2 linked regions of the Drosophila melanogaster genome follow. The gene in region 1 interacts genetically with each later gene. Each region holds a gene or a part of one and is shown on either strand. Other genes may lie near its edges.

Region 1 (16,189 bases):
AGTACGTAAGCAGGCTCCTCCGAGCTCCGCGGTCTTTATCAATGAGAGTGACGTAGGTTGTGTGCAGACCGGACGGGATTCGGTCGGCGAGTGGAGGAGTTGGGTGGCACTTTAATGTGGTCTGCAAGCCAACGGCCAACGGCACGGAATCGGGGCAATACGTTAAAAACTGTTGCACTGCGTCGCTGGGACGTCAGTTCATTCAGAACAGTCGAAGTGCGCAGACCACTGGGATCCAAACACCGGCAGAAACCAGGCCAGGAGTCGAAGTCGACCTCCCACCTCCAGCCAGATCCGAATCCTATTTGGGACACCACCAGCTAGAGCCAAGTCAAGTGCCGTTTGCCGTAAACATGCCACGCATCTCGTTGCCCGGCAGCAGCCTGCTGGTAGTCCTGGCACTGATCCTGTGCCTCAGCCTTCCAATCCGGGCGGTGCCCACCTCCGTGCTCGCCCAAGACACGGAGCTCTCCACCAGCGCCAACCACAAGCTCCAGCAGCAGCAGCAACAGCAGCAGCAGCATCACCAGCAGCAGCAGCTCCAGCAGCAGCAGCAGCAGCAACAGCCGGCCACAGGTAAGTGCCAAAGTTCAGTACAGGTGGAGCAGCAGCTCCGCCCACGCCCACTCTTAAGGCTAAAGGTCACTGGGAAAATGCGAGTTTTTGAAAAATGCCCGGCCCGAGAAGGCTGTGCCTCCAGCCTCCAGCTCGTCGTCTGCGTGGGTTGGCTGGCTGCTGGCTTTTGAGGGTCGGGCATCCGCTCGAGTGGCTCCATCTCGGAGCTCATCTCGTTTAGCATATTCCATTTCCCATTTACCGCTCGTCGTTCGCTGTTTCTGCCAGGAAATTGCGTAGGTGTTTTGCGCGAGGACGACAGCTGTCGTCCTTTTGAATGCCGCGCTCCATGAGCGATTTATAAATTTCCATCCTGCGGTTGTTTTTCTTGCACTGGCTTAGTGAATCATTACTGTGCCTGCACAGCGAGAAAACTACCAATGACTTTTCTGAGTAAGTGGGTAGCTATATGCACTCTTGAAAGAAAACTATCAAATAAAATAAGTTTTAAGTCTTTAAATTAAAGTTTCAACAAAAAAATGATTATATAAATTATATTAAATTATATACATATATATATAATAATCAAATTTCTGCCAAAATATTCACGAAACATATATACATATATCAAGCTGCGGCTTAAAGCACAATGTTGCCTTTTCTTTCAACAACTCTAAAGAAACATATGGTATTCTGTATATACAGCTCCACGATTTCTCCCAGTGCAGTTACACTGTTCATATATGTAGCTCAGCGCTCACCAACACAAGCACACGGGAACCTACAGCGCAGTTAAACATCGCGTAGGCGTTCGCCACACAAAATGGCGGCCAGCCTCCTTTGTGAGTGTGTGTGAGTACGTGTGTGCGTGTATGTGAGTGGGGGGGCCTCCATGCTGTTAAAGTGTGCGTACGTGCGCGCGATTTCATTTCTATTTTTAGAAAGCGAGTTAGGCGAAAGTTTTCAGCCCCTTTTGCGCCCCTTCCGCTCCTCCTGCACTTTCTGCTCGCCTGGCGCCGTTCGCCTAGCATCGCCTTACGCCATCGCCATCGCCATTCACCACATCTTGGGTGGCAAGTGCCACCCATTGCCGCCCCCACTTTCACCGCAGCATTGAGCCCTTAAGTAGGCAGCCAAGCTCAAGCTGTTAAGCCTTTCCGATCCATTCCGAGTATAAATACGCGTCCGTGTGTGCAACACGTTCGTTAGCGCTCCAAACCGCAGCAGCAACTAAGGCCAAAAGTAGCGGGGCTTTGGTCAGATGTCAGTTGCCAAAAGCCAGCGGCAACCACATCAAAATGTAAAGGGCAGGTGCCCAGAAAAGGGGAAGGAAGCATGTGATTGGGGTGGACAAGTTCAAATTTAAATTTTAACATTTCGCTGCATACTTTCAAATCTTTCAATGTTCTAATGTAAGTTTATAGATACAAAATTTGCCTTTGGGTAAGAAACAAATCTCTAGGGATTAGATGTTTTCGAGAGCGATAAGCTCTCCATCGCACATTTTTGTAGCATACTTCCAGGCAGCGCCACTAACAGATTTTTGCCCCAGCACAGTTCGCTCTAAATAGATTTATTATGCCCCAATGTGGGCGGAATGGCGCCCCCGCCCCTTTCTACGTGTTTACAGAGCCACATATGGCAACCTAATGACAAAGGCAAACAGGCTGTCGCCGCCAAGTGTCCAGCTGTCGGTAGTGCAAAGTGAAAACAGGGTCCACCCCACGGATTAATCCACGCAGCAGCAGTCAAGTGGGCGCATTAAATATTTATGAGAGCAGTGCCTGCTGACCCCTCGCCTTTTCCTTCCTTCGCCTGGCGATGAAGTAGTCAGGAGGGAAGGGTGAGCACTCCAGTTGGCACACCCAATCCCGAAACCACAGGCTCCCAGCGCATTTTCCTGCGCTTGACAAATTTTTCCATATGCTGCGGCTATTAAGTTATTTCTGTGCGGGGCCGAAAGAAACGCCCAAGGACTTGGCCGTGGCGTTAATTGTGTTCATGTTCGTGTCCACATTCCCATGTTCATGTCGCGCTGTCTGTGGTGGCCCGACTTTTCGAACAGCTGCTGGCCAAGAGCCACCCACCAGCCCCCAATCTCTGCGCATGTGTGTGTGTGTGTGTGTGTGTGGGGAGCAAACAACTTGTTGATACTTTTGCAGTTCAGTGAACAGCCTGGTAGAGTAGAGACCCAGGACGACGTCAGCCAACGTCAGAGCCTGCCAGCTTTCTACTCATTTATTTATTCAAGTACCCCACCCGAGGAGCACCCATCCGGGCTGATGGACATCCGTGAGCAGGACATTTGCCACACATAAATATAATTGAGGCGGTGGCGTGGGCGTCATGGAGGCGAAACATGAGCATTGTGGGCATTAAATGACTGCCAATACGGGGAAGCGTTTAGCCAGCGGGTTTCAGGAATTGTCGTCTGTCCCAAGGACTCTGGGGAATCGCAAACTGGGTTACGGGCGCTCCATAAAAGCGTATCCACATTCAGAGAATGTGGAATTTTACAGCTCGACTAGAGTTGCACCAGGGGACATACTGTTTCTCGGAAGGAACTTGTGTTTCCACGCAACATGTTAGTCATCACTTTGAAAGTAATCATATCAAAATAGCTTTAAGGTATCAAAATAATTCGTTTTTAGTTACGATAGTGGTGTCTAAAACTAAATAGTCACCTGCAAAGTAAGTTAAGTACACACTTCGAAACATTCATTTCCCATTCGATGCGAACCGCTAGTCATTTTATGGGAGCCCATTTCCTGATAGCCGGATATTATACCACCTGGCCCTTTCAATTGGCACACCCTAATAACACATTAATCATTGGGGTCGTATAAATCATGGCTATGCGGGTATCTACTCCATTCCACTCTATATGCGATATCTCAGTTCCAATAATCATGGAGATAAGCTATAGATACTGGTATAGATATTCGCAGAAACCTGCGAAATACCTCATACAAATCCACTGCGCAGGGGAGTTGAACGAGTTTGGCTGGTCCATCTGAACTCGGGATTGGATGGATGGGGCAGTTGAAATAACCGCATGCCCATGAGGAGGACTCATGTCAGGTGCTAACTGAATCCTAATTGGCGGCGGCCAGCGCTCAATTAAAGATATCAACCGATCCGAGATATTAAAGCCAATTCAGCCGTCCAATTAGCGAACCAACTGTTGCGCAAAGACCCTTTTTTTTCGATTGGATGCCAGTGGGGCGGCAATGCGATTAGGATTAATAAGGTCAGTCCTCCTCCTCTGGGTATTACATCGGGGATTAAGTGGACATAAAGCCGGCTGTCAGGGCGCTAAAAGCAATTAGCCCAGACCGAGAAATATGCTCGGGCGTATAAAACAATTATGGTACTCGTTCTGCGGACGGCGGCTAATTGGTTTTGCGGTCACTTCTCGGCTGTGGGGATGTTGGGAATTTATTGAATCAGCCCCGGGTAAATGGTAAATGGAAAGTGGGAAATGGCAAGTTGGAAATGGAAAATTCGAGTAGCCCGGACAGCAGCAGCCGGCGTTACCCATTCCCCATCTCGTTCACCAGCCAAACGCTCCGAGGAGGCGAGTGCCGTGCCCACGGCGGACAAGAAGTCGAGTCCGGAAATTGTGCCCGCTTCCTTTAGCAACGCTCCGTCGGCCCGAAACAGCCCAGTTCCGGTCTCCAGCCAGCAGCAGGAGCAGCAGCAGGTGCCGTCCGGAGTCTACGCCCTGCCCTCCAACGAGGAGATCCTGGCCGCCGTAGCGGCCGCCGCCCAGAACAGCCAACAGCAGTTGCAGGAGGAGCCCTCCGCCCTGGAGGAGGCGGTGGCCAGCTCCACGATGCGCAAGCGGGGCATCAATTACGAGTACAATCCGTACTCCGTCGCCTCCAGCGACTACGGCAGCGATGTGCCCAGTGGCGTTTGGTCCGACGACTACGAGGCCGCCGTTCCTGTCAGCTATGGCGAGCGGGATCTCCAGGAGATCGATGACTACGTGCCAGAGCGAAGAGGTGCGTCCAAGAGCGTGGCACATCCATTGCTAACTAACAAAAAACTTAAATTCCAGTGAGTAGCTCGAGTGCGCGAAACAAGGCCTACGACAATTTGCAGAATCTCCTGAACGCCGAGGCCTATCTGGAGAGCATTCCCCTCTCGGTGCCGCTGACCTATGCCAATCGGAACTACAACGTGGATGAGCGCAACAAGCGGGGTATCTACTACAACGTGGGCACTCCCGGCGGCAATGGGGCGAGCAGCCTGGGCAGTGGAAGTGGCTACAACGACGAGGGTATCAACCTCAACAAATATCGACGATTCAACGACATGCGGTGAGTTAGTAAAGCAACACGGCGTATGAGTGATATTTTACATACATAACAACTATTACTAAGGGGTAACCTTTTGTATTCTTTGCTCCAATCCCAGACTTAAACGCGACACCCAGCTCAATCCCGCCGACATGCTGGCCCTGGTTGCCCTGGTGGAGGCCGGAGAACGGGCGCGCAAGGAGAGCGATGCTGAGAGCTCCGGACCGGTGCCCATGATACCCTCCGATGACCTGGACTACGCGCCCGCCGGCAGCTGGTTCGACGTGCCCGTACAGGCGGACTACTACGGCGCCGGAGTGCCGCTGGACAACCAGAACCAGGCGATGCCCAAGTACGAGTACGTGCCGCGTCAGCACAAGTACAGCGGAGTCAATAGCCGTAAGTCCCGATTGGGTTGGCAGCAAGAGTCGGAGGTTCGTGTTCTATAACTTTCAATTATCCAGCAGGATTCGGCTCCTCGAAGCAGCGCTACATGGTGGCCAAGAAGAAGCGCTCGGTGAACCAGAGCCAATTCATGAACGAACCGGTGGCGGAGCGCGGATCCGGCTACAATGGCGAGAAGTACTTCTAAGGATCCCACGCGGAGATAGTCTACGTAGTACTTAATGATAGCCACAGGCCCCACGAAGAGTATTTCTCGTTTTTTTGAGCATTGAACATATTGAACATAATCCAAGAAACCAAAATCCAAATTCAATTTCTAATTCAATTATGATAAAGAGCTAGTGTCAAGGTCAACTCGTGTGCAATTTTTGTGTAGAATTTCACTTTCAAAAAACCCAATGGCGAGAATTAAACTATTGTTGCATGCAATGTGGTGCGTCAGGAGCATAATCAATCAGTGTCTAGGATTTTGTCCCACGGAATCCGCACCGAACTAAACCGAATCTATATCTACGCCACCTAATCCCTGTAAGAAATCGGTGTCTATGTACAACTACTGCAATCTGAAATCCAGCGGAACCGCAACTTGTATCTGTATCTACTTATCGAACTAGAGGCTTCCCGACTAGTACAAAACGAGAGAAGAACGTCAACTATGAATATGATTATATATAAAAATATGAATACATCTATACATGCATATATCAATCCTAATCGAGCTCAGAAGCGACAAAAGCTCCACTAACCGCTTTAATTTAATCTAAACTTATACTAACTAAAGCTAAAGCCAAAGCCAAGTATTTTGAATGCCATCACATTCCGAACTACACTTTTTATGTAACCCCGCCGACTTGGGGACAAACGATCTGACAATTGATGAGAATTTTAATCGTATTTAGCGAGTATCGCAGCTAATATGTTGGTAAATTATATATATATATATATAAATATACGTATACAATATGCAAACAATTTGTGGATAAATTTGTTAAGAAATGGCTCAGGGCATAAATATTTTAAATATTCTATGCCGACGACGAAGAGGCGTATTTTTAATTTGAATAAAATTGTCTGACTGTTTTCGGTAATAATCAAATATACATACATATGTGTACTATGAATATGGTAAAATAAATTATATTATACAGACTAAAATAAAATAGCGTATATATATATGTGTGTGTGTATACAATACAGATTATATATAACTATATATATGAACACTCAAGTAACCTTAATATTATATACTTTCCCTCTGAATATTTGGCCTTTGATTTACGCCTTAAGTTCTTTGCGTGAACTTAGTTTGAAGATACATTTATTTACAATCAACTGATTTACGATTAATAAATACGTCTTTGGTTTGAAAACCAATCAAAATTGGATGAACTGGGAGTTTTTTGACCTGAAAACCAATTGGCTGTGCTCAATGGCAGAAAATTCAATGAAAGTGGGTTGTTTTTTCCCACCCATATCGAATCTTAGAAATGTGTCAATTCAAAGCTTACATCAAGTTACAATTAGGGGAATTTGTATATTCAGCTGCGCAGTAACCGCCGCTCAATGAAAAAGTCATAAAAATCATTTTCCACTTCCACGCTCGGTTGCCAGCCGCCAACGAAAGTTTGAAAGGAAAGTTAACTAATTTGAAATTGGGAGACAATTCAATGAAGACCAATTAACAACAGCTAGACTTCTGGGGCCTCTCGAGCGAAGTGTGTGCCAAAAATTAAATAAAAACCAATTGGCCTTCGCACACGCGTTGACATCCATCGCCATTCGGATGGGTTTCATCATCAATGTTCCATGCGAAGCCACATTAAAGTGCTGCATGTCCGGTGAATGAGTGGAAAACTAGATAACCGTGAAGCAGCGCCATTGTGGCCACTGCAAATGGGGAAGCATGCTCTGCTCCGGACGCCAGATGAGATCCAACTTTGTCCAAACTTAGCTCGAAATGGCCATAAACAATTGAATAGAATGGCCGTAAACAGTAAGCCAAATAAACAAAACATTGGGCTCCAGATACACAAATGCGTTTGACACAAGGGGCTCTGTTTTTTTTTTTTATATTATTATTCTAATGACTACGGCATGCACATCATAGCAGTTATCAATGTGCTGCAATCTAACCTGCATTGAATGCAAGTTGCATGGACACTTTATACTAAATTCAGACTAAGTTACAAAGTGTTATGCCTTTTGTATGCCAAATTGTTGCCATATGGCGGGGAATCTAAATAAGCATTAATATGTATGGAGTGTGTGCAGGAGCATTGGAGCCTGAAGATTCTGGCAGGGATTCGAGGTGGCCATTTGCATATCTCATCAGCAAATGACCAGGAAGATAAACAAGCTGGGCAACGAGGCCAGGAGCAGTCTTTAATGAATACGTTTAAAGTTAATTTATTATGAATATGAATATAACTAATGTTAACTGCTCACGGGAATGGCAAGCATTTGTTTTAGAGATTCCCCCACGGGCAGCACGATTTCGCACCTCTCATCATGAGATCAATCTGCTGCAGATGTTTTGAGTTTGGCGTTAATTAGGCAGCCAAATAGGGAATTCACTTCGATTCATTCCAAAAACTACACAGATGCGGCAACATTTTGTAAATATATTTATATATTTGATACATTTGATGGGCCATTGTGTATCGGGATCATCTCCCGAAATTTATACTAATTTCATGCACGCGTTTTGCATGTTTAATAACCGCTTTATATGTCCACCTGTAGACGGAATTATATCGTGTATATCTGACTAAGGCCAGAAGATTATATAATGCATTCAAATGACTTGCAGGTAGAAAGTAACTTCATATTTAAAGTACTTCATTTCAAAGAGCCCCAAAAACCGATCAGGATTGAATTAAAATTCGGATGAGATGGCTCATAAGTTAGCCGTTTGAATGGCTGTTTCTCCTCCATTCGAGAGTCTTTCGAAATTGGCTCAAACACGCAAACATGCCATTGATATGCTGGCCAAGTCAAATTTATGCGTGGGCGCATTCGAAAAAGCCAACTTGCCCAGGACAGCAACCTCAGCGGGGACACGAACCCAAGGTATCTGAGGCATCTACGATGCAATTGAATGCGAGGCACATGAAATTGAACGACGGGTGTGGCGCGTGTTGAACCAGGCATTTGACTTTGTGGTCTGGATGGGGGAATATCATCATCGGGTTTCGGGCTTGTGACAAACCATTTCCGAACCCCCAGAAACGAAGCCACCAAGATAAAGATACGCGCCAAACGACAGGCAGGCCAAATTACTCGGCGTTTCGGCAGCGGAGAACAAGATCCCAAAACTCGGGACCCACCACCACCACAAGTACATACACACGCACACCGACGCGAAACGAGAATTTCGTTTTTTTTTTTTTGGGAACGACGCACAAAATCAAAGAGTATTCCAGCTAGCCGCTTCAGTTGGTGAGCAACTTTCGAGGCAATCGCACGTGGACTTCGATTTCGGATTCGTTTCGTTTCGGTTCGGTTTGGTTTCGTCGCCTGAGAATATATCTCAATCTGTTTAAAGAAGATATTAGCATTCGGCAGCCGCAGTAAGGCCTATATATCCCCGGAAGCCCCAAAGATGACGGACGAAGTGCCCGCCAAAGGCAGCATATTGGGCAGTAAGTTGTGGCTTGGACATTCGAAGCATCTGTTTCGAGATTGCACCACTGGAGTGCATCATGCATCATGCGGCGGTGGTGCAGCAGTGCAACAAGTGGGTGGGCTGAAGGCACTCTGGGGATACAAGATACAAGTTTGACCTCCAAAAGGTCGTTCGTGTGCGTGAGTTCCAGAAATCTTCCTTGTTCCCCCAGTGCGTACGTGTGTGTGTGTGCCACATCCTTTAGGTTTTTATGTTGCTGTGGCTTTTTTTAGACGCCGCCCACGCCACGCGGCATATTTGATTTGTTTTTGGCGTTTATATGCCCGGGTACTAATGTCCGGACAAGGTCAAATGGAAGTCATAGATATAAACAATATTGGCAGGCGAAAATATGACCAATTTGTATGCGTATCCCAAACAAACGCGACATTCTTGAAATTCGTCTACCTATCCCAACAAAAACGGCGAAAGTTTGCCAAGCTTTTGAATCGGGTAAATAATAGTGTTTACTTTAAACAATCCACGCGAAAATCTCACTCGGCGTTTTCAAATAAGTTTCTCAAAGGGGTTACTTTAAAAGTTGATTTTAAAATTTCCAAATTCCACAATACTAAAGTTACAAGAAAGTACATAATTCCACAAAGTTAACTATTAACAAATGACATTTCTTTACTCTGCAATGTTTATATTGCATCATATTTGTGAAATATTGTTTATCGTATTTCATGAATTATTTATTGTTTATTTGAAAATATTATTGTATGACTATCACAGTGATGAACTGAATCATTTCTTTCCCACAAAGATCTCAAAGGAATACATTAAGAATGCTATGAATTATAAACAGGAATATTTCTTATGACCATGTTAAATGAAAGCGTTGTTAGGAGCGATCTTATTTTAGCCCTATATAGATTAACCCAAGCACTTGAGATTTACCACCACCACGCACCACCTAATCAAACAATCAAATTAGTCTGGAAGACTTGGAGAACTTATGCATATAGAACATCTGAAATGTATTGGTGCTCTGCAGCATTTAACTCAGAGCAAATAAAGATTAAGAAAGCGAAGAAAGTACCAACGAAGTAGGGATACTCTTACATAAATCCATTAATAAGGATGGTATATAATGTCCTTCGAAATCAAATCATCTTTTCTGCCACCAAATGATAGCTTAGCTAACCTAGCTAGTTTATGGAATTAGTTAATTATTAGAATATATCAAACGAAAGAGTATATCTTAAGGCATTGAGGCAGTAATTACACAATATCGAAGGCACAATTAGCAGATATAAATAATCGGTTTGCCAGCTCGAAAGTCTTATTGTGACAGCCATGAAAGTGAAATTGAAAACACAGACGACGAATTTATACCCCTCGTTATCGCAAAGCAACGCACTCATAATTGCTGGACATGATTGCCTCCCCCAACCGATTTCAAAAGGGGGTGGACTATATCAATGCGCGTGCGGCGGCTCACTCTACTGACCCTACCCAACTGCCGGTAATCAGTGGCTGCTCCATGTGGAACTCGTTGCTCACCAGGTGATTGGGTTCGGAGCACCCGAGTGGTGTCATGTCCCTATAAATACCTTAATGGTAATGTGTGTAAGGACTATCCCCACTGTCTTTAGATGTTTGCTCTTCCTTCCTTCAATTAAAAAAACAAACGAGAACGTTGTCGTAACGACTATTTGATACCCCTTACTCAGATAGCGATTCAATAACACGGACAAGCAGACGGACAGGGTCAGTTTGTTTCGACTAGTGTTTCCGATCAAGCCCATGTCACACATACACACGTTTCACACGAGTCTAGTATACCCTTCAGCACTTCAAGTAAGGGGTACAATTAATTCCTTAACTTGCTAAATGGAGTCATTTGGCGCACCATGTCCGATGTGAATATCATTGGCATTAATCAAATTGACTTGCCAAGCAAACCAACCGAATGACTTATATATCGAGTTGCATTTTCCATCCATCCAAAATGGACGAATCAAGTAAAAATAAAGATTTACAAAGACCTTACCATCTACTTTCCAGAACTCGTGCCCGCCCGCTATGTGCTGGCCCTCCTGGGGTCCATCGGCATGGCCATTGTGTACGGCCTGAAGGTGAATCTCAGCGTGGCCATGGTGGCCATGGTGAACCACACAGCCATTAAGGCCCACGGAGACGGCGGTGGACATGGGGGACACGGCAGCGTCATCCTTTCGAACGCCTCCCAAGTGTCCCTGGTGGAGGAATGCAACCCGCCGGGTGGTGCCTCCAATGTGACGGCTAAGGTGGAGGACGGTCCCTTCGACTGGAGCGAGCCCCTGCAGGGAACCCTGCTGAGCTGCTACTTCTGGGGCTATTTGGTCTCGCAGATTCCGCTGGCACACGTCGCCGAGAACTTCTCCGCCAAGTGGGTGATGCTCTTCTCGGTGGCCATCAACGTCGTGTGCACGCTGCTAACGCCCGTCTTTACTGAATTGCATTACGGTGGCCTGATTCTGATGCGAGTGCTTGAGGGCGTCGGCGGAGGAGCCTCCTTCCCGGCCATGCACGTGATGATCGCCTCCTGGGCCCCTCCCACGGAGCGCATGGTCATGTCCACCATCATCTACGTGGGCACATCTGCGGGTACGGCTCTTTCCATCCTCCTGGCCGGCGTGTGCTCCGCCCAATGGGGCTGGGAGTCGGTCTTCTATGTCATGGGCGCACTTAGCTGCATCTGGATGTTGCTGTGGGTCATTCTGGTCCAGGACAACCCCAACAAGCAGCGTTTCATCAGTCTGGAGGAGCGCCAAATGATCACCAGCTCGCTGGGCACCGAACAGAAGACGGAGCACCACCCGGCGGTTCCATGGGGCAAGGTCTTCACCTCCGTGCCCTTCTGGGCCATTCTCATCGCCCACACCTGCAGCAACTTCGGCTGGTATATGTTCCTCATCGAGATTCCCTTCTACATGAAGCAGGTGCTCAAGTTCAACGTGGCCAGCAATGCAGCCCTCAGTGCTCTGCCCTACTTCCCCATGATCATCTTCAGCATCTGTCTGGGCAAGCTCCTCGACAGTCTGCAGGCCAAGGGTAAGTCGGACACATTATTGGACCTTTGAAGGGTGAGTGGTATAAATACCTTAATGTGCTTTCTAGGTAAGATCACCACCACCGTTGCCCGCAAGACGGCCACCTCCATTTGCACCCTGATCCCTGGAGTTTGTCTGCTGGTCCTCTGCTACATCGGATGCCGTCACTATGAGGCGGTGTCTGTCATGTCCGTGGGCATTGTGGCCATGGGCTCCATGTTCTCCGGCTTCCTGTCCAACCACATCGACATCGCACCGAACTTCGCCGGCACCCTGGTGGCTCTGACCAACACGGCGGCTACGCTACCTGGTATTGTTGTCCCCCTCTTCGTGGGCTTCGTCACCAAGGGAAATGTAAGAGAAATGCATCTGAATATTCTCGAAAATATCTTCAAATGGCTTTCTCGAATCATTCTTTTAGCAAAACATTGGCGCCTGGCGCATCATTTTCGGAGTGACCATCGTGCTGTTCGCCTTGGAATTCCTGGTATTCGTCTTCTTGGGATCGGGCAGCGAGCAGCCGTGGAACAAGGCCGGAACTCCCAAGGATCCCGAGGCCAAGGACGAAAAGACTCCGTTGAAGGAGCTGCCAACTAAGCCCTAAGCCAACAATCTCGCCCCGAATCTTCTGCCTCAATTACTCGACGAACTGCTGCTTATTCGGATAACTCTTGGATAAAGCCAGTTCAAAGTGGAATGGTCAATGCTGGACTGTAAATACCAATTACAAGTGTACAATGCCCACCCTGAATAGCGAATTCATTGAACATACGTTCGCTATTTAGGGCGTGCACTGTAGTTTTTAGATCGCTGTAAACCAATAGTTAGTAGCCGTATCCATTACGGATAAACACTTCAGCCCGCCTAATGTACTTAACACTCTTGATTTCAAAAGTTGTCTACAAATAAAGCGACGTAATAGTGGATGCACGGGGGTTCCTAAACAAATTCTGGTGGGGAAGGGAGAATGGGTCTCAGCCTCAATTTCGATGGAAATTCTGGGTGAATGACCCCATTTTCCTGTTTATATTTAGCGCTAGCAATAAGCCATTCCACAGAATCTCAGAGGATTTAGTTACAACTCTGTACGTATAAAAAAATATATAAACAGGGGATCTGTTCTATCTGTTTGGTTGAAGATATGAACAATTGCATGATGTAACTAAATGGCAAAAGATGTAAGGCTAGAGGATGATCCTAACTCAACAATGCAAAGATTGGGTTGTGAAATTGATTGTAACATCTAAGAACCAACTTTCTTTGCATCCTTATCACAATTTAAACTCCGATAACCTGCGGCGCCAAAAGACAGAGTCCGTTATCGATATTCCGGCAGAAACATATGATTTCATGTAATCAGTTTGCCTTTGCCGGTTTCAACGGATTGCGGAAAATGTTGAAAGCACGGAACGTTTGTTTGCTGTCCAGGAGGTGGAAGAGTGGCGCCAAGAAGCGATGGAATGTCCTGCAGAACAAGAAGAACAACTGTGACCGAGCGCTGGAGAACTTCGATGACTTCTACGGAAGTGTCTACGGCACCCGGTGGAAGAACATGCGGGCGGCGCTTCTCACGAGGCACAAGTATGTCGCCCTGGTCAACAATTTCGGGGACACGGAGCAGACGTGCGCCATGCTGGAGTCAGATGGAGCCATCAACATGAAGTCGCTTATTAACCTGGCGCAGGATCGGGTAAAGGACAGCACGGAGACGGTGCCGGAACAAGGCAAATCACGTCATGAAATTGAAAGCAAACTGGATGCACTGCTGCGGAAACAGCAGGAGCGCGAGGTGGCCTCCATATACCCGAGCTCGCCAGAAGATGGTTCATCGGCGCCACTGCCGCTGGAACTGAAGTTTGACAACGTAGAGGAAGATCAGCCGGAGCAAGTGAATAATCCCTTCAAGCAGAGCCTGACGAAGGCTTTGGAGGAGGATGTGAAGCTGGACGAGCATCGGTTGGTGGATCCCCAATTTGGCACAGGCGGACTGTATGAATACATGCCTGCCCACAGCATCAAGGGCATGGAGGACTGGGTGGCAGAGTCGGAGCACTACAAGTACTACCAAACCAGCGCCGACTTCCCGCTCGCCATTGAACCGGAGCCTTCCTTTCACTACCCCGAGCATCTGTCCCTGTACACATATGAAATGGGCAACTGCTCGGACTTCAAGGGACCCAAGAAGTGCATGACCGGTGTGCTCTCCCACTTTATGATGGATGGTGCCTCGACTTTGCCGCCTCTCTTCCTGCAGGTGAAGCCTGGCGAGCGTGTGCTCGATGCCTGTGCCTCTCCCGGCGGCAAATCGCTGCTTATGCTGCAGACGCTGCACTTGGACCACCTGGTCTGCAATGACATCCAAGAATCCCGCCTAAACAAGCTGCGCAAAGTGATGCAGGAGTACCTGTTCGACTACAAGGAGCGCTGGGCTGGAAAGCGCCTCATCCTCAGCCAGAGTGACGCCCGCAATCTGGACCAGTACGAGCAGTTCGACAAGATCCTGGTCGACGTGCCCTGCACCACGGATCGCCATGTGCTCAACGAGCAGGACAACAATATTTTCAAGCCGACGCGCATAAAGGAGCGCCTGCGGATACCAGAGCTCCAGGCAGGCATCCTGGCCAACTGCTTGCGTCTCCTGCGACCAGGCGGCAGTTTGGTCTACTCCACCTGCTCGCTGTCGCCCATCCAGAACGATGGTGTCGTCCACATGGCTCTGCAAAAGGTCTTCACGGAGTACGGCATCACAACTACCATCAAGGATCTGAGTCGCCACACGGCGCTCTTCAGCGATGTCTTCAAGTTCGAGCACCCAAAGGGACTCAAGTATGGACAAATGGTGGTGCCCTACCTGCCGGCCAACTTTGGACCCATGTACTTTAGTAAAATAACCAGAAATGTGTGATTAAATGAAAGTTGTTGGCTGATTAACAAGACTATATAACTGTTGCCCCAATAAATAATAAGAGTTGTAAACTAAAAAGGTACCTTTATATTTAACATACTGCTTCCTTTGGTAACCAGTATTTTCTACTGCTGGAATTACATTTGCTTGTCGGTCTTCTTTTTCTTTTTGCCCTTGATGGGCAGAGGACCGGGATTCTTGAAAATGGTGCTGGAAAGTATAGTCAGGCTCCTTAAGTTAAGTTCTAGTTAATTGAAGTTTAAATTGTACTCACTGGCAAGTGGTGCATATGGGACTGTATTTGCAGAAGACCGAGAGGCAAACCGAGCAGACGTAGCCAATGTCGATCAGCTCACGATGGCAGAAGCAGGAGGCGCGGTAGTCCACTTTGGGCGGTGGCGGCAGGACCAATTTGTGACGGATCTGCGGGGCGGGCAGGAAGACCCACAGGAGGTACTGCAGCAGGCCGTCCAGCTGGGTGACCTTGAGGAACTGTCCGGAGGTAATGTCACAGCCTTGCTGTAGCAAACTGAGGGTCTTGTCCAGGGCGCAGGTATCGATCGTGATGCCCAGTTTCTGGGCGGTGAAGAAGACGTTCATGAACGTCATGTACTGCGAGGCGCACTCGTTGCTGCCTGTGACGACCAGGATGCGGGAATGCATCTTGACGCCAGGAGCCAGATTCCTCTGGAGCTGTACGGGAGTATTTTGTTTTAGATTTGGTTTCCCAAGGCGATTCCTAGCTATTCTCTACCCTTGATATGTAGCACAGCGCCATGGACATGCTGCCGGCCAGGAGACTCTCACAAGGAGCGCTGAGCCGTGGTGCGTTCATCAGGATGCTGCCCAGCTGCTGCTTCACCGTCTTCTCCACCAGATTAAACGCCTCGTACTGCCCATCCACTTGGCGCAGTTCCACTTGTCTTCTGGGCAGCGGATACAGGAAGTTTCTGTAATGGAAGAGCCATTAGGTGGCGTACATGTGTGGCAGCCTCTACTCACGTGGCATGGTGGGAGCAGGATACCACAGCCAGTTTGTTCTGGGCCTTCTGCATCAGGTGAGCATTCCCAAAGGCAATCACCGCCTCCAGGATTTGCGTGAGGTTCTGTGGGTTCTGGCGCACGAAGTGCTGGGAGGGGTTCGTGTCCAGGACGATCACCAAGAGGTCGATGCATGATTCGGCTGAAAATTGCGTTCATAAATCATTGTTTTCATTCCATTCTTGTTTAAAACAAATACCTTCCTTGCTTGCTGCTTGATCTGCTTCCATTTTCGCCGGCAATGTTATCGCTAGAGATGCGAACCAATCGATATTTG
Region 2 (17,243 bases), 8.8 Mb from region 1:
GGTTCTGGTAATGTGTTTCATCATCTTTACTAAAGATGATGATGTCGTCAATATAAATGAAACATATCTTACCGATATGTTCGTGAAGAATATCGTCCAGTGCGCGCTGGAAAATTGACGGTGCATTTTTCAGACCGAATGGGAGTCGTGTAAACTCATATTTTCCATTATTGATGGAGAAGGCGGTCTTTTCGATATCAGATTCCTTTAAAAGAATCTGATGAAACCCACTTTTCAGATCGAGCACTGAGAAAATCTTGTTGTCTCCCAATTGGGCCAACACTTCATTAATGTCAGGGATAGGGTATCTGTCCGCTACCGTTACCATGTTAAGTTTTCGATAGTCAATTACCACCCTGTATTTTTTCTTGCCAGAGGAGTCGAGTTTTTTTGGTACAATCCACACTGGTGAATTGTAAGGTGACCTTGAGGGTCGAATGATTCCATCGTGTAAAAGTTCGGAAATTTGTTTGTGTACCTCGTCTTTAAGAGACATTGGGTACTGATAGAATTTTGAGTATATTGGCGTATCCGATATAGTTCGGATTGCTGCCCTTACACTTGTTGTGTAGGTTAGTTTTTGATTCGGGTCTGCGAAGAGACCTGGATACGAATCAATTATTTTATTCAATATCATTCTCTGTTCCACCTCTAAGTGTTTTATTCTCGGACTAATTGTGCTAACAGCCTCGAACTGTTTTTCTTTGAGAACAACTCTTTTCCCGTTTTCCAGTGTCATGGTTAGGTTCTTCAAATCAATTTGCGCTCCCATTCCCTTCATTGTGTCTTTGCCAAGTATGGCGTCAAAAGTCTTCAGCGTTGGTAACAAAAAAAATTTTATTTCGAAATCGAAAAGGCTTGCTCTTTTGTAATGCGATATTTTTACATCACCGCCTGGAGTATCAGCTATGTAAGGCTTGTTATTTGGTATCGCGTTCGTCACCAAATTGGGCTGGATGTAATTTTTATTAGAGCCTGTGTCAATCAACACCCTTAAAACCTTTCCACTCCCCACTCTACATTCGAAGTATGGTAGTGAGGAGTCTTCTACTCTAAAAAATGCAACACGTGGTCTCGTTGTTCGCTGTCCAAATTGTCTATTTGTCCATCACAGTATTCATTTAGTGTGCCGTTTATATTGTTCTGGGTTTCATAATCTTGCATCGACCGTTGATAGCCTGTCATGCTTGAACTGGACCCAGTTACTTCAATACTTGGCTGTCTCATGTTCACTGTTTGGATGTTGTAGTTCTTTTGTCGTTTGTTTATGTCCGAGTGTGGTCTATTCATATAATTAATGTTTCGCGTCTGTACACTGCCGTCCACGTCCATTGGTTCTGGTCTTGGTTGTGGTTTGGTCGCAAAGGGACGGGGTGGGGCATTGTATTGTTGCCATTGCTGTTGATAGTTTTGTCGGGGTGGAATGAACGGTGCATTACCGAAGTTAGACACGTGTTGCCTTGGCGCCGGGAATGGCTGGCCTAAATATTGTGGAGGTCTCCTCATGGGATGTCGTGGAGGGACCGGTGGAGGCTGTCGATGGCCAAAGGCATTCGACGGCTGAAAATTGCGGGGTGCCGGAATGGGTTTTTCGTTTCCTCTGAAACTCGACTGTTGACCCTTATTCGCCGCATGGTTTGACCTGAAAGTTTGATTTTCAAGTTTAAGGCAATAATGTAAAGCTGAGGGGAGATCAGCTGGCTCTTTTATTGCCAAAAGGCGAGGTAAATCTCCTCGAAGGCCTCTGATAAAAGTATCCAGAGCTTTTTCTCTGTACATTTTTGTAACAAAGTGCTCGGATTCTCGGCTCATTTGCATGCAGCCGACTTTATTTAGAATAAGCGACAGATTTTTGTAGACGTCTTGGTGGAAGTCTTCCACCGACTGCTGGTGGCCTTGAACCAAAGTTGACATTTGGTATTCCAAGGTAGTTATGTCCCGTTTATCTGCGTAATGCAGAGTGAGACATCTCGACATGGCCTTCCAGTCCAGCGGAATGCTGTAGGACTCGAGTGCCACATCAGCACTTCCAACAATTTTATTTCTTATGGTATGAAGTATACCATAATATTTTGGAGTACCCACAAATGGGGTATAAGTCTCCATGATTCTATCAACGCTCTTTTTCCAAGACCCGAATTCTGCTGGATTTCCAGAGAATTCCCTGATCGATTTTACGATATCAGGCACCCTGTCAAAGTCCGCTAAATTATTTCTGTATTCGGGCTCGACGACCTGGTCGCTCACGTCAGTAAAGTCAAGAGTATTGTTGTTCATTTGTTTTATCAATCCAGGTAAAACTTGGGCCACCGTTTGGCCAATTAATGCTGTCAACTGTTCGACACTCATGTCTACGCGATGCTGTTCAGGCAGGTCGTGTCTTTCTGAGGGCACCGGTCTTTCGTTTGAACTAAAAGCTGATGGTCTTATTATATTATTAGGATTTGCCATACTGATTTTTAATTCGGACAACACCTGCACAAAACAAGCCTAAACCAATTTGAACTTAACAAAAGTTGTGGGCAGAAAATATGGAATGCGTGTGTATGTGTTTGCTTATTTATCTTTTGTTTTTGTTTTTTTATTTTTTATTTTTATATTTTTTTTTTTTTTTTTGCATGCAATAAATTTTAGCTCACCGCGGTTATTTTGCTTTGAGAACAGTGTACCAGAAAGGAACAGTAAATAGGAAAATTTTCCTTTCAGAAGATCTCTAGGAACTGGGTTGAAAATATAGTATTAATAATAATATCAATAATAATAATAAAATAATAATAATAATATAATAATAATAATGTAATAATAATAATATAATAATAATAATATAATAATAATAATATAATACTAATAATATAATAATAAAAATATAATAATAATAATAATATTATAATAATAATATAATAATAATAATATACTTAAATTTTTTTTTTTTTTTTTTTTTTTTTTGGTATACTTATGTTTTATTATGGGTGGATGCCTGAATTTCAAATTGCTGATGTTTTTTCCAGTGTACTTTCCAGGTTCTTGTAGTCTCTCTGCCTCCTCTTCGGTTGTTTCAGCTTCAGCTTCTTCGTCGTCAACGTGTTCTTATTCCTGTTCTTTTTGGCGGGCTGCTGCTGCTGCTACGGCTGTGCTGTTGTTGTTCTTTTTTTTTTTCCTTCTTGTCTGCACTTTGGTTCACGCAGCCGTTCTCTGCCGTTCGTCGTCTTTACCTCTGCCGTTACGTTTTGGGTTGCACTGTTAACTGTTATCCGTGTTGCTCTTCTGTAGTTCCGTTATTCTCGGCGTTCTACTTCTACTTTTCCTTCTCCTTTTCGATGAAATTGCTGTTCTTCGTTTTGCATTTATTTAACATAGAATTGTTGCGGTCACTCCTCCTGGCTGGGTGAATGTTGTCCTTTTTGCCTGGGCTACTGGGGAATCCACGTCAGCACTCCAAAGAAGGTTTTCTGCGGGCTGGCCTGACAGAAACTGTGATCCACCAATGGGCAATGCTATGCCGATAAGTATTTTCCTCTTCCGGAAAATCTGTTTTTTTCTCAAACAATTTTATTTTATAGCCGACCGTGAATTTTGTTTGTTAATAACTCGCGGGAGTTTCTTCGGCACAATTTAACCAACGAATATTTTTTAGCAAAATTTTGATTTTGCTCCGCGACTTAGAATTTTGTCTTTCGTTCGCGTTTATTCGCTGGTCCCTGTTCGGGCGCCAGTTAATAATTACAGTTATCGATTTGATTTTGAAGATCGCAAGCGACCGTTTATTGCAATTTATCATTTGAAACTAAATCTAGCGTACAAAATGTTTCCCTAAGTCCCTAGCAATCAAGTGAAGTCGTCGGCAGCGGCGCAGCAGGCGTCGGCCGCGGCGCAGCGCAGAAGTGTCGATGTCGCGCTTAACCGTTCGTTGGCGTTGATGGCAGCGGAGACTATGTGGAACCACAAGATGTTAGAGAATCAATTGCAGGGCAATAACTTGCATGCGATATACAACCATTGACTCCGGCTCGAATTCACAGGATCCGGATTGCAGGACTCCTGTCGTTTTACTTTGTTTCACCAACGGACGGACGGATGGCTATGATCTGGCACCGCAATTAAGCAAAAAAAAAAAGGGTTAGACATCGGCTTTTTCACATCGTCCTGCGACGAGGAAGTTGTGGTCTAACTTGCAGGCTCCTTGCCTCTGCTTTTTGGTCATTCGACACAGGTGCGAAAGTTTCCCGGCTTGCGGTTTGGGCAAAGTGAAAACGATCCAACGAAAGGGCAAGGCACTGGAAAAAAAGAAGTAAAATAAAATAAAAAATTAAATAAAATATAAAGTGAAATAAACGTAGTTAAATAAACAAAACAAGCCCATCGGTTCAGTGAATTTTAAACTTTTTTCAATTGAACCCCCCTCGCTGAACGAATGCCATCGCCCACATGTTCGGATTTCTTTAAAATTTTAGATGGATGAAAAATAACCGCCTGACGTTAAAAACTCTAAAATGTTCCCTGAACATTAAACGCACAGACACAGATTGTTTGTCCAGGAAAAGCAATCCATAAAAACGTCCGCAGGATTCGAAAATAAAAAATGAAACAAACTCAATTTCAAATTGCAATCAATAGACCGCCTTGAACAAATCGATTTTCGGTTATTAGCCGTCACACAGTCATTAAAAATTTTGACAGATTTTGACAATTTATTGATGTTGCACAAAACACGCGGCAAAACGCAAACAATCGAGCAAAAACCTACAGTTGACCTGTACAAATTGCAAAAAGTGGACAAATGTTTGTCCTCCCATCTGCGGCGACTTTCGAGTGCCAGGACCTCGTCGCCCCCAACCTCCTGCATTTTCCACCAACCCTCGGGGCGCGCGATAATTTGATTAATTGAAAGTCAGACGACCTTTTTTTTTTGCGGTCTCTGGGAAGGGGTTGTTCCGTATCCGAACTGATTGGTTGCTTCCAGGATGATGAGGAGGATGAGGAGGAGGGTGCTCTGGTGGCGTGAGTAAACGATCTCCGGTCGTTTCAAGTGGCTCTATTGTATTCACATTAGCGGACTTATCCAACCCCCAGGGTGTATCTATTTCCTATCTGACCGTTTTTTTTTTTCGGCACTCGATTTTTTTTTTTGGCTAAAATTTAAATATCGCATTACACACAGACACTTGATTTTGAAGCCCAGCCGACCGCATTTGAATGTTTCACTTGTGGTCCGGATGGGTAGTTTACTGTACAGGTTGCACAGGACTCCCTGGGCAATTTCCTAACATGTGTTTTTCATTCGAAACTTTAAATCTGTTGTCTGCACTTGATTATGCGATAAACTGGGCTGTGGTTTTAGCAAACTCTCGGTTTCACTTGCTTTTGGACAGTTGCGTAATTGTTTTGTCGCTTCAAGGGCTTCTCAATGGGTCGTTGGTCGTCAAGGGTTAAGGCGTTGTCTGCTGTGGAGATGGCCTGGCTAACTGAATCGGACATCATCTGCCAGCCACTTGAACATATTTTCTCGTTTTTAGGCTTTTCAGTCTTGCTGCCAAAAGTTGTGGCTTCCAAACTGGCGGAATAGTAATGAAATGAAAACGTAAAAATCTCAAAATAACAAAGTTGCAACTAGAAAGTTGCCGCTCTTAACAGCACCAATATTTGTTTTAATTTATTCTTGCAACATCTAACAATATTAACCTAAAATGATTCAATTATTTAGCTACCTAAACCAACATTCTAAGTTACAGCACTCTTTTAACTAATCAAATTTGGCCAATTAAAAGACTTCCTGTTGATTTTAAAGCATCTCTCGAACATTTAAATTCGAAAACATGAAAATTTATAGTCACGTAAATAACTCAAGCCAATCTACCCTTTCCCGTTTAAAGTCTGGTGGCATGCAACATTTAGCTGTTTTGTGGTTTCCCACTCCAGCGTTATTCTCATTATGCTTGTTGTGTTATTGTTAAAAGCCACGCCCATCGCCCCCAAAATGATAATTGATTTTGGCCTAAAGCCCAAAGGGTTTCGTTTTATATACACAAATATACTTATATACATATAGATAGTTAAATGTGGTCGTTCGTGCTGGTGGCACACACACGAAGGACGCCCCAAAAACACGTGGCCAGCTGAAAGGACATTCAACTCGCAGGAGCAGAACAATTGCGAATCGCTTTAAGTGCTCACTTTTCAGCAAAACACTTTGGTGTGCGCAATTTTCAATTTCACGCCAGCCCACTTGAGCCGCTTTCCCACCTCATTTGCATATTTTCCGGCAATTATTATTTGCATATGCGAAAATTTCCCGCCCATTGTGATTCTAATTCGATTTTGATATTTCGCGCCCATTGCCATTTGCAATTTGCCTTTTTTTACGATTTGTTTTGCCAGGATCGTGTGCCGCCTCTATTGATCTCATAATCGAGCCAAGTGGGCTAAAAAAAAAGCAACGTCCCTCATTTGCATCGTTGTGCTCATTTTTTTTTTTATGGCGTGCCAATTTTTGATAGATGATGCGTGAAAATGTGGGACGTGGCAAGGGGGGGCGACCTCTGCATATTTGCATATTTGATTAATTTGTTTGGTTTTTTGGGTGGTTTTTTATGGAAAAATAATAAGCATTTTATTGTGTGCTGCGGACTGGAGGAGTGAGGAATATGGGCTAATTTCTATAGCTCATCAAATAGCAAGGATGCGGATTAGAGCGGCACAAAATTGATGGGGCATAAAACAGAAAACAGGGATGGGATGATAAACTTGCGATATGAAAGTAACATGTGTTGGGAAAACGATCGAAAAAAATGATACATACAAATATTTGGTTTGAAGAATATATATATTTTATACTAAAATACTAACCATATGTACTAAGAACATACATACATAAGTTTCATTGCTTAGCATAAAATACTAAACACGAAACATAAGAAGGATATAAATTAGATGCTGCACTAGTGCACACAAACAATGGAATTTGTTTTTTGGCAAGAGATCTTCTTAAGTATTTAATCGATTGGACATGAGCCGCATCATCAGCTTAATCCACGCCCCGTTCGAAATGCAAATCGGTCTGGAAGTTGCGACTGCTTCTGGTCCTGATTTTGTCCTTCGGCAGACGAGCAGTAGTTTTCCCTTCAGACTGGCGGGCACTAATCCAATTGCTGTATGGATCATTAAGCACTGATTGCGTTTTATGGTGCAGACAGGACCTCGGGCATAGGTACATACATATATATATATATACAGATGTGAATATGCTCATATGCAGCGCAAGGACACTTCACTCGCATATGCAGATTAACCCACAGCCAGTGAATTGAAATGGGGTGCCATGCCATCAATTATGTTGGAAATTCGACGATTTAGATTTAACAGCAAATCGATTTTGCGATAAAAAGAGAAGGAATCCAACATAAATGCATTTGCGAGAAAGAAAGTGTTAAATTAAATTCACATCATTGGCATAACCAAATTAGTTGCAGTCAGCGCAGCTTTGTGCAGTGACAAAAAAAAAAACAAAGTTAACAAATTTTATTTATTAAGTAATTTAATTTAATAGATATTTGAAAGATGTTTCTAGTGCAAAAAGGATATATGGTTTGATTATATTCATATCTATTATATAAAATACTCATACTTGGAATTCAATAAGCAAAAAGTGCAAATAAATGGTGATTTTCCCTGTGTACTTACCTTGCTGAACAGTATCCTGCATTCAAATGAACCGCAAAGTAAATCTGCATTTGATTTGTCACCCGGCGCACTTGTTGCAAAAAACTTTTGCCGGCAACTGTCGCCGCGAAAGGTGGCACACACAAAAATAGAAAAACAATTGCCAATTACGTATCCTTGTTTAACGCTTGTGCCGAGCCACTGCCCCCCGGATGCGAGACAGGAGCATCCGGAAGCAGGCAGTAACCCACCCCGGTAGCCATAGTCACCAGCATGGTCGTGTCCATAAACAACAGTCGAAACAAAGCAAAAACCCACAGAGAAACAATCAAAAAGAAGGAAAACTCAGCGGGGAAAAAAAAACATTTTGAGGGGTGGTGCAAAATGGGCAGCGGGAAAAACTAGGTGGAAAATTACTTTTGCGCTCATAAATTTCAATAATAAAAATTTGAATGCAGTTGACACGACACCGAAACAAGCAGCCCCGCCCACTTTTTGTCCCCTCCGCACACAAGAGCGGCAAACAAGGTTAAGTGAAATAAAAATCAGTGAAGTGCATAAACAAGGTTCAAGGTGCGGGTCGGACTGCAATTGGGATTTGTATCTGTATCTGTAGCTGTATCTGTATCTGTAAATGTATCTGCATCTGGTTCGGGACCTAAATCTGAATGTGGATGCTGCCTGCACCACCCGATAATTGAATTGGCTTGTCGCATTTGGTTGAGGAAGCACAACCCTTTTTTTTTATTTTTTGAGGACCGGAGGAGTTATGTTTTTGCATATGTACATTTGTATTTATGGTGTATGGTGTTTTTTGGCTTTGCGCTGGGATGTGGGTTGTGGTCTGTCCTTATTACCAACATATGGAATACGAGTTTCGGGGTGGCGGCCTCAATTAATATTTGCGGTTGAAGTGCAAATGCGATAATATTTGGGTCAACGCCGTAATGTTCACTTATTTTTCATAGTTTTGTGGTTAGTTTCTGAATTTGTGCTACGGAAATCAAAACAAAAATTGTATTTCAGTAAACAAGCTTAACTGAAAACGAGTAAAAAAAAAGATGAAACGCGATAGTGAAGCCCTTCACTCACTCAGCTTATCAATTTTAAACTCAATATTTTCAGATATAGTGAAACGCGCATATGTACATACATATGTACATAGGCATAAATACCTTAAAAGGTATTGCAAATATATTACTGCAGAGATAAAATACAGTTGTTTAGTTTAATCTTTACCCTACACCATTCTAATGAAAAATTCAATATATTGTAATTAACATTTCAACAAAAGATATTTAAAAAAATAAGAAACGTAGCTTCTGCAACCTTTTCGTTTGCTCAAGATGCGTATCCTAAGAAAATCTTCTATATGGCACCACAGATTTAACTTTTTAATAATTTAACCCAAATAAATTAAGAAGCTGGTAAAAATAAGAAAAAATAAAAAAGTAATGGCAAGCAACATACGTTTCTTTTTTTGGATGCAGCAGCTAAAAACAAACGCGCCAGTTTGAATTCAACGCGCCAAAGCTACTTATCGATAGCAACACGGGTTATCGATAAGTCTTACGCCAGACGCGACAATAACAACAATGTGCACAAATATTCACGTTTAAGAAAAACTAAGATTTTATTCTGGTTGATGTTGTAGACAGAACGATCAGGTTAAGATGTGGTTTACTTCTTGGCCTTCTTGGGGTCTCCCTTGGCGGCGTCCTCGCTCTCAGCGGCCTCCTTGGCGCGCTTGGCGCGGATTCCGACCAAACGGGCATCAGTGCGAGCCTGCAAATATAGTTTGGCGGCGAATAAGTATAACGAGCTACCGGCGGATCACGAAACCAAAAAACTTACCTTGCGCAGCGTGGCGAAGGCCTTGAACTTCTTCTCATCCTTGGTCACCTCACGGAACTCGACCACGGCGGGCTGCTCATTTTTGATGGGCAGGACGGGTCCCTTAAGCTGGGTAGCCAGCTTGCACTCCTCCAGAGAGGACTCGCCGGCGCGGATCTTCTTCTCGTTGATGGGGAACAGGATCAACTTGCTGCGGTACTCCTTGAGGCGCTGGATGTTACGCTGGCGGGACTCCAGGGATTTGTTCTTGCGCCTCCTGTCGACGGCAATGCCGATGGTCTTGGCGAAGTTGGCGCCAATGCCGGCACCCTGTAAACAGAGATTTTGTTAGTGGCCAATGGATTCCGATAATGTTTTCGGCTTCACTTACCTTCAGCTCCTCCAGGGTGAAACCACGGCCGGCACGCAGCTTGGTGTGGTAGCGGATGGTGGGGCAGCGAACCACAGGGCGCAGGGCACCGCTGGCTGGGCGGGGGAAGACGGCCTTAGCCTTCTTGACGCGGTTCGCATGCCTGCGGACCTTGCGGGCCGGCTGGTTGAACCAGGTCTTCACATGCCGCTGCCACCACTTGTGGTAGTGCTGATTCGGAATCATATTGTTACCCTTACCCATCTTGGCGGTTTAGATTGGCTGCAACGAGGGCAAAAACACAATAATAACATCAATGTCTCTTTGTAAACTCGTATATATGGGATAACCAAGCTGCAGGCCCACGTGGCTGGCGAATTTCGATTTGTTTAAGCCGTAATTCCGAGCACTTCTTCATGCCTACGGGTGTCAATGATGCCCACTTGTGTCCTCCACACTTGGCACACTCGATGGCTCGATTTGCATTTCGTTTATCTTTTATTTTCATTGAATTTCGTGACGCTCACGAAATTTACACACCTTTTCTTCCCAACAACGAATTAAAAAGGAAATCGCAACCAACTTCACGTCGTAGGCCAAGCGAAAATTTCCCTAGAGAAATTCCCCCGGCCGAGCGAGAAATTTCCCCAGCTATCGATTGGTGATGCAATCAGTGTTAGCGAGAATACTCAACAAATCGCATTTTTTACGACAGTCAGACGTATTGAAATTAAAAAGCGGTGACTCTCATATTTGAGCAGTCTGTAAAAATAATCTCAAATAAATGAGAGTGCATTTGAAGCATTTAGCAACGTTTTATTGCCTTATCGATTGACGGCGTGTCGCGTGGCAACTCTGAACTGTACTTCTGATACAGATAAAAAACTATTGACTATTGAACCGTCTATCTATAATCGAGAAATTGCGCGCTAATACACGCATTGGGCACAGCAATCGTTGTCGAATCTAATTCAAAACAAACAAGAAGATCCCAATCCCCCACAGAAGACAAGATGAGCGAAGGGGTACCAGCGTCGCCCGTGGCCATTGGCGAACTCAAGTACGAGGATGTGTCGCAGCTAAATTTTTCCAAACTGTACTCGCCCAAGATGAAAAGCGTATACTGGCGCTACTTTGGATTCCCCTCGAACGACAATAATGAGGTGATTACCAAACAGAATGTGGTCTGCATTAAGTGTCACAAGGTGCTGACCAACCATGGCAACACCACCAATTTGCGTGCGCATCTCCAGCACCGACACAAGGATCTGTTCAAGGAGCTGTGCCAGGAGCACGACATCCATGTGCCGCCGCGCAAGACGCCGCGTAATGTATCCCATCCACCGCTGTCCAAGCGGAATGTTTCCTCGCGGCGGGTCAAACTGGAGTTCATTAATAACCGGAACCACGATAACGCTTCCGATGATGAACTGGACGAAGCAGCCGTGGCAACTGCGGCCATGCAGGCGGAGGAGGACGCCTCCTCGCAAACCATGCTGTACGAGACCATGGTGCCCTTCACCTACGACGAGGCCGAAAATCTGGTAGAGGAGGAGGAGCGCCTAGTTATGGAACCAAAGTACGGACGCAAACGCAAAGTGGCCACTCCATCGAGTGCCCTGATGCACGGGCGTGTCATCAAGCACGAGGAAGGCGGCTATGCCGCCGTGGCGAACATCGCCAATCTGGCCGAAGCCCTTACGGACATTGTGATTAAGGATTTGCGCAATGTGGATTCTCTGTACGATGCCGGTTTTGGTGAATTCCTGCGTCAAGTCCTAGGCAATTCGGCAGCCATGCCCGAGCCACACAAGATCGACTCTTTGATCAATGAGATGCACGCCTCCAAGTTTCTGGAGATTGGCGAAATCACGCGCGATTTCACCTCCGAGAAGCCCTTCTCTCTCGCCTTTGAGATGTGGGTGAATGTTGAACAGCGGCGCTTCCTTAGCATCTTCCATCACTTTCTGGACGAGGAGACGCACTCAGTTCGCGGTATGCTGTATGCCACCGTGGAGTACAACGACTACATCGTCTTTGACGATCTGCTGACCGACTTCTATTTGGCCAATTGCACACTGGCCATCATAAACTACGACGAGGAAGAGGACCTTTTGCACACCTATCTGCGAGAGAAAAGTGAGTGCATTAGCAAGTCAGAATTATTTACCTTATATAGAATATATATCAAATATTGGACTTCCTAATGAATATGAATCTTTTATTGCAGATATACCCATTTCGCTGTGCTACGTTTCGGTAATTGACAAATGTTTGCGTCGTGTGTTTGAGATCGAAGAGGTGGCCACTTTATTGGAGCAGGTGAAGGACCTAATGCAGCGTCATTCAACGGAGATTGCCTCCAAGGTGTCCGAGGTGCCCATGCCCACGTACAACGAGCACTTCCCCTGGACACTGTACGAAACATTGAAGTTCTTTGCCGAGTCCATATCTTGGTCCGAGGACATGGATCACCTGGTTATATCAGCCAAGACGGTGACGGAGGCCCTGAGTGCTCTGGTGGTAAGCCATCAAGCTAAATGAGACGTTTAAGCAGTTTTCTTATTGTGTGAAATCTTTTAGATTGCTTTGGACACGCTGCGTGGCGAAGACATTCCCTTGTGTAGCATGCTTTCGCCAATCACTTCAAAGATTCTTATCAAGAAGTTGGGCATCGCCGAGCAGGACGATCCCCTAATGATGAATTTGAAGCGGACCATTTCCAGTGTCCTCCAGGCGCACGTTATATCCAATGACAATCTGACCGCTGCTGCATTGTTGGACCCACGCTTCCACCGCCTGACCACCATTGACAACCTAGAGCGAACCGTTCGTATGCTGACCCATAAGTATAACATTAACTTTGGTGGAGTGGGCGAAGGGGAATCCAACGAAGTGGCAGCTACCTCCAGCGTGGTGGCCATTAAGTCAGAACCAAGAGTAGTGGACGGCAGTGCACCAAAGAAGTTGGGTAAGTGCATCGAACTAAATCGATTATCATAAACCATGGACTAAACGAAAATGCCCGTAGGTCTGAAACTGCTGTTTGACAGTAACGAGATACCAAATCCTCCGAAGCGAGATGCGGACAGCAGCGTGGAGTCCGATCTTAAGCGATATCGCAACGAGGTGGTCGTTCAGCTGGATGAGTCGCCCATCGAGTGGTGGCTCAAGATGGGACACATTTATGGAACGCTCCGCGATTTGGCCAGCCTGTACCATAGTGTGCCCGGCGTGGTGACGCTCAGCTTCAAGAAGGCGCTGAGAGACCAAATATACGACTTCAACAAGCGATTCATGCTCACCGGTAGTCACATCGACGCCATCCTCTTTCTTCATCATCACAACAATTAGTCTGCACTGGCGACTACTGTTTCTTATAATGCAAATACTTTTTAATTACTTTTAACGTAATCCGATCTTGTGTATATGAAAATGACTACCAGGGGCGAGGCAAATAGTAATAGCGATTCCGCAGTACTTTTAACCAAAAGACAGCCTTGGGACGTACACGGAACATCTTAAGTTATCGACGTATAAATGTTAAGGGAACATTTTGACATCATATATTCAAATCAAACAGATAATCTAAGAATATTTGTTTAATAAATCCATAACGAAAAAATATCACGCTTATCAAGCTCACTTGTAAATCCCCTTATATCCATTTCAAGAGAACTAATTAAATACTTAACTTAGTTGTACATAATTGATATTTTAATCTTATAAATAAATAAAATGCATCTAACTTTCGTGAATTGTTTTATTGAACTAACTAAAATTAGATATTTTACAATTAATTCAGTATTAAAAAAATTTCTGAACTACGAAACAATTAGTAGTCGGTTTGGAGTTAGCTACTTTATATATTTGACATATTTCTTTAATTTTCAAAATATGTTTTATTTTTTTACTCTGCAGCCCTCGAAATTTCCCTTTTTTAAATCATCGGAAAATTTTCATATTTTTCGTCTGCGACAAACAAAATCTAAATAATCTTCGACATTTGTTTTTTAATTAAGTTAATTTTTTTACTGATAGCTTTTAAACTTTAAAATAAAACAAATAGTAAAAATTTTAAATAATATAAAACCGGGAGGAAGTCTGTATTTTAGTCATTTCGGATTTCGCATTGGCTGGTCACACCAATTAGACGTAGGCACCCGACCCACGAACTGGATTCCTCACAAAAGAAGGGCACGAAAGCCGCGATATTACTGCCAATAGGACTGAAACCAATAGATCGAAGAACTTGCTCTGCCAGCAGGAGATCTCTGAAAATGCGCCTCCAGCGTGGGTGCCACCGCCGTGTCCTGTAATCTGCTGTGAGAGAATTTCTGGCGGAGAAGAGCGGATCGGAGCGGAAGAAAGCGGAAACCCAAGTGAAAACAGAATCGGGGCGGCGGCGTCGACGTCAACGAATCAACGATATCAACCCGGATATTAGGTACTCCGGTGAACAGCACATTTCAAGGAGCATTCCCAAGGAGTGCACCAGAGGCAAAGATGTGCAGCTTGGACGTAAGACGCTTCTTCGAGGAGTGGCGCATCTGGATACGCCCGCTGCTCATTATCACCTATGTCATCTTCGCCATCATCGTGGTCCCGCTGCTCATTGTGAACTCCGTGAAGGATGGCTTCCAGCGCAATGACCAGCTCATTCTCATCGGCGGTCTGTTTGTGTTGTCCGCAGTGCCCGTGTCCATTTGGCATATCATCCAACACGTCATTCATTTTACCAAGCCCATACTGCAGAAGCACATAATCCGCATATTGTGGATGGTGCCTATCTACGCCTTGAACGCGGTAAGTGGGCCACCGATGTGAGCTTCGATATTGCGGAATTGGAGACCACAAGAAACCTAATACTCTCTATTCACTTGCAGTGGATCGGCCTTTTCTTTCCGAAGCACTCCATCTACGTGGACTCACTGCGCGAGTGCTACGAGGCGTACGTTATCTACAACTTCATGGTGTACCTGCTCAACTACTTGAATCTCGGTATGGACCTAGAGGCCACAATGGAGTACAAGCCGCAGGTGCCTCACTTCTTTCCGCTCTGCTGCATGCGGCCGTGGGTGATGGGTCGTGAATTCATCCACAACTGCAAGCACGGCATCCTCCAGTACACGGTCGTGCGCCCCATTACCACCTTTATCTCTGTGTGAGTGTCGGGATGTGCTTTTCCGTTTAACAGTCAACTCTAATCGGAATTTCGTAGCATCTGCGAGCTATGCGGCGTTTACGGCGAGGGCGAGTTTGCGGGCAACGTGGCCTTCCCCTATATTGTGGTGGTCAACAATATATCCCAGTTCGTGGCCATGTATTGCCTGGTGCTATTTTACCGTGCAAACAAGGAGGATCTCAAACCAATGAAGCCTATTCCCAAATTCCTGTGCATCAAGGCTGTGGTGTTTTTCTCGTTTTTGTAAGTACCACATGAAAGCATTTAAGATTGGTTAAGAATATTTTACTCCACCGTAGCCAAGGAGTGCTACTCAACGTACTGGTATACTATAATATTATTAAGGACATCTTTGGGTCGGATGTGGGAGACACCAATCTGGCTTCCCTGCTTCAGGTGAGTGACCTATTTAAAAGCCGAATGGATCTGGCAATAAGTTATTTCTATAAGTAAAGAGCTAATATGTAAATTAAGCATGATTTTTTCATACCAACCTTATCTTATAACCGAAAACAGTCCCAAGTTCGTTTAATACTGATGACTAAGAGTTTTTATCAAGCATAACTTCCAAATTTGCAAACACAACAAATGAAACCGAAGTGAAAGTTTCCAAAAACCAATTCAAATATGTATGTATTTGTTATCGCCAACCAGAATTTCCTCATCTGCATCGAAATGTTTATCGCGGCCGTGGCTCACATCTACAGCTTCCCGCACCATCCGTTTCACATCAACTCGCCGCAGTACTGGAACAACCCGAACCATAGCTGGTGTCGCGCCTTCCTCTCCATGATGGACATATCCGACATGCAGGAGGATGTCACCGAGCATCTGGGCGTCGTGGGCAGTTCACTGAGTCGTCGCTTCCAGGGACGCAGCACATACCAGCCGCTGGCGCGCAGTCCTCGCCGCTCCAGCAGTGAGTCCGAGTATCTGATCAGCAAGCGGCAAGATCAGCAGCTGCCGGGCAACTCGTCACAATCAGGTAACATGTATGGTGCAACGTCCAGTCGCCTGATCGTGCCTGTGTATGATGGCAAGCTGAATACACTGCCCGAAAGTCAATCTACTCACTCCCAATCTCGATTTCCTTTAGCAGGCGTGGCCGACGATGGGAACAGTAGCAATAGCAACTACCAACAACAACAACTACACTTGCCGGGAGCGGCAGGCTCTCAGCCGTCGACCCGTCAACGCGACACACTGCATCTTCGCGAGCGCGAAAGGGATCCGGGTGCGGGTGCTGGCGGCGGTGGCAGTTTCCTGCGCCTGCCCCCTGGTGCCGCGTCGGCAGCGGCGCCAATTCCCGAGTCCAACGATGATTATGCCCTGCTGTTGGGTGCGGGCGCAGGCAGGTGACACCGCTACCAACAATATCACTACCAGCAACATCAGCACCCGCACATTGACGACGCTTTCGAGGACGAAGATGGCGTGGACGTGAGCCAGCAGTTGAATGCCTCGTCACTCAGCGCCTCGCTATCCGTATCGTTTGGCATGTCAAGCAGCCTCAAGTTTAGTGCCACTGGCAGCAATCAGTCGGCGTCCGAGTGGTCGAACTCAACGGGCGGGGATAATGACGCTGACGACGGTGACTTGGACGTGGACGGAGAGGATGGAGACGCTGAAGATGACGGTGCTGGTGTGCAACCCGTGGTCTTTATTGCCTCCACGACGCGGCGACGCCGCGATCGAGAGTACATCACCTAGACGCGCTGACCTTAAAGCCCCTTATCAGTTATATGCTATGCTTATATTTATTGTTTTTCCCCATCCCATATCTTGATTTGTGCTAGGCTTAGAATACTCATGAAACGAACACTTTCTAGCGGCCCATCAAATGGGGCATTTGAATTGTGGCCTTAGTTTTCATAGCGAAAGCAACTTATTTTAGATCGCCATTCACTGTAATCGCTGCTCCTGATAGCGCGCACAAGTGAATCCACACATCCCTTAGCATCCCAAAGAATCATCATTGAATATAGGGGTCAGATATTTTGTAAGTACTTTTTATGTGCTGATTGTTTGTGAACAGACCTTCCCGAAACGATATTTTTACTCTATACATCCCTGCTAGGTGACCCCGCATAGTTATGTAGGTCTCCAACTTTTTGTGTGGCGAAGTAGTTAATTAAAAAAAAACATGCCTGAACCGATTGTGAATTTTGTGACTGCCGCCGGTCAGAAAAGGGCGTGACT

Evidence for each region.
Region 2: of l(2)10685 (region 1) and Dref, changing one suppresses a phenotype caused by changing the other (phenotypic suppression), as found in Drosophila melanogaster (one study listed by BioGRID).

What each region holds. Positions count from the first base shown.
Region 1 is NT_033779.5:1,134,506-1,150,694, forward strand, and holds l(2)10685 (lethal (2) 10685), read left to right. Parts: upstream 1-13,316; 5' UTR 13,317-13,359; coding exon 13,360-14,871; 3' UTR 14,872-14,944; downstream 14,945-16,189. Other genes in the region: CG4577 (uncharacterized protein), read left to right, coding at 354-576, 4,116-4,562, 4,619-4,880, 4,978-5,258, 5,324-5,451; MFS3 (major facilitator superfamily transporter 3), read left to right, coding at 8,866-8,905, 10,939-11,967, 12,034-12,320, 12,388-12,570; Tfb4 (transcription factor B4), read right to left, coding at 15,009-15,081, 15,146-15,564, 15,626-15,821, 15,874-16,054, 16,112-16,142.
Region 2 is NT_033779.5:9,960,515-9,977,757, reverse strand, and holds Dref (DNA replication-related element factor), read left to right. Parts: upstream 1-10,528; 5' UTR 10,529-10,872; coding exon 10,873-11,998; intron 11,999-12,089; coding exon 12,090-12,382; intron 12,383-12,442; coding exon 12,443-12,830; intron 12,831-12,890; coding exon 12,891-13,213; 3' UTR 13,214-13,611; downstream 13,612-17,243. Other genes in the region: RpL13 (ribosomal protein L13), read right to left, coding at 9,337-9,441, 9,511-9,819, 9,881-10,123; CG5850 (uncharacterized protein), read left to right, coding at 14,366-14,665, 14,746-15,023, 15,081-15,287, 15,344-15,440, 15,699-16,403.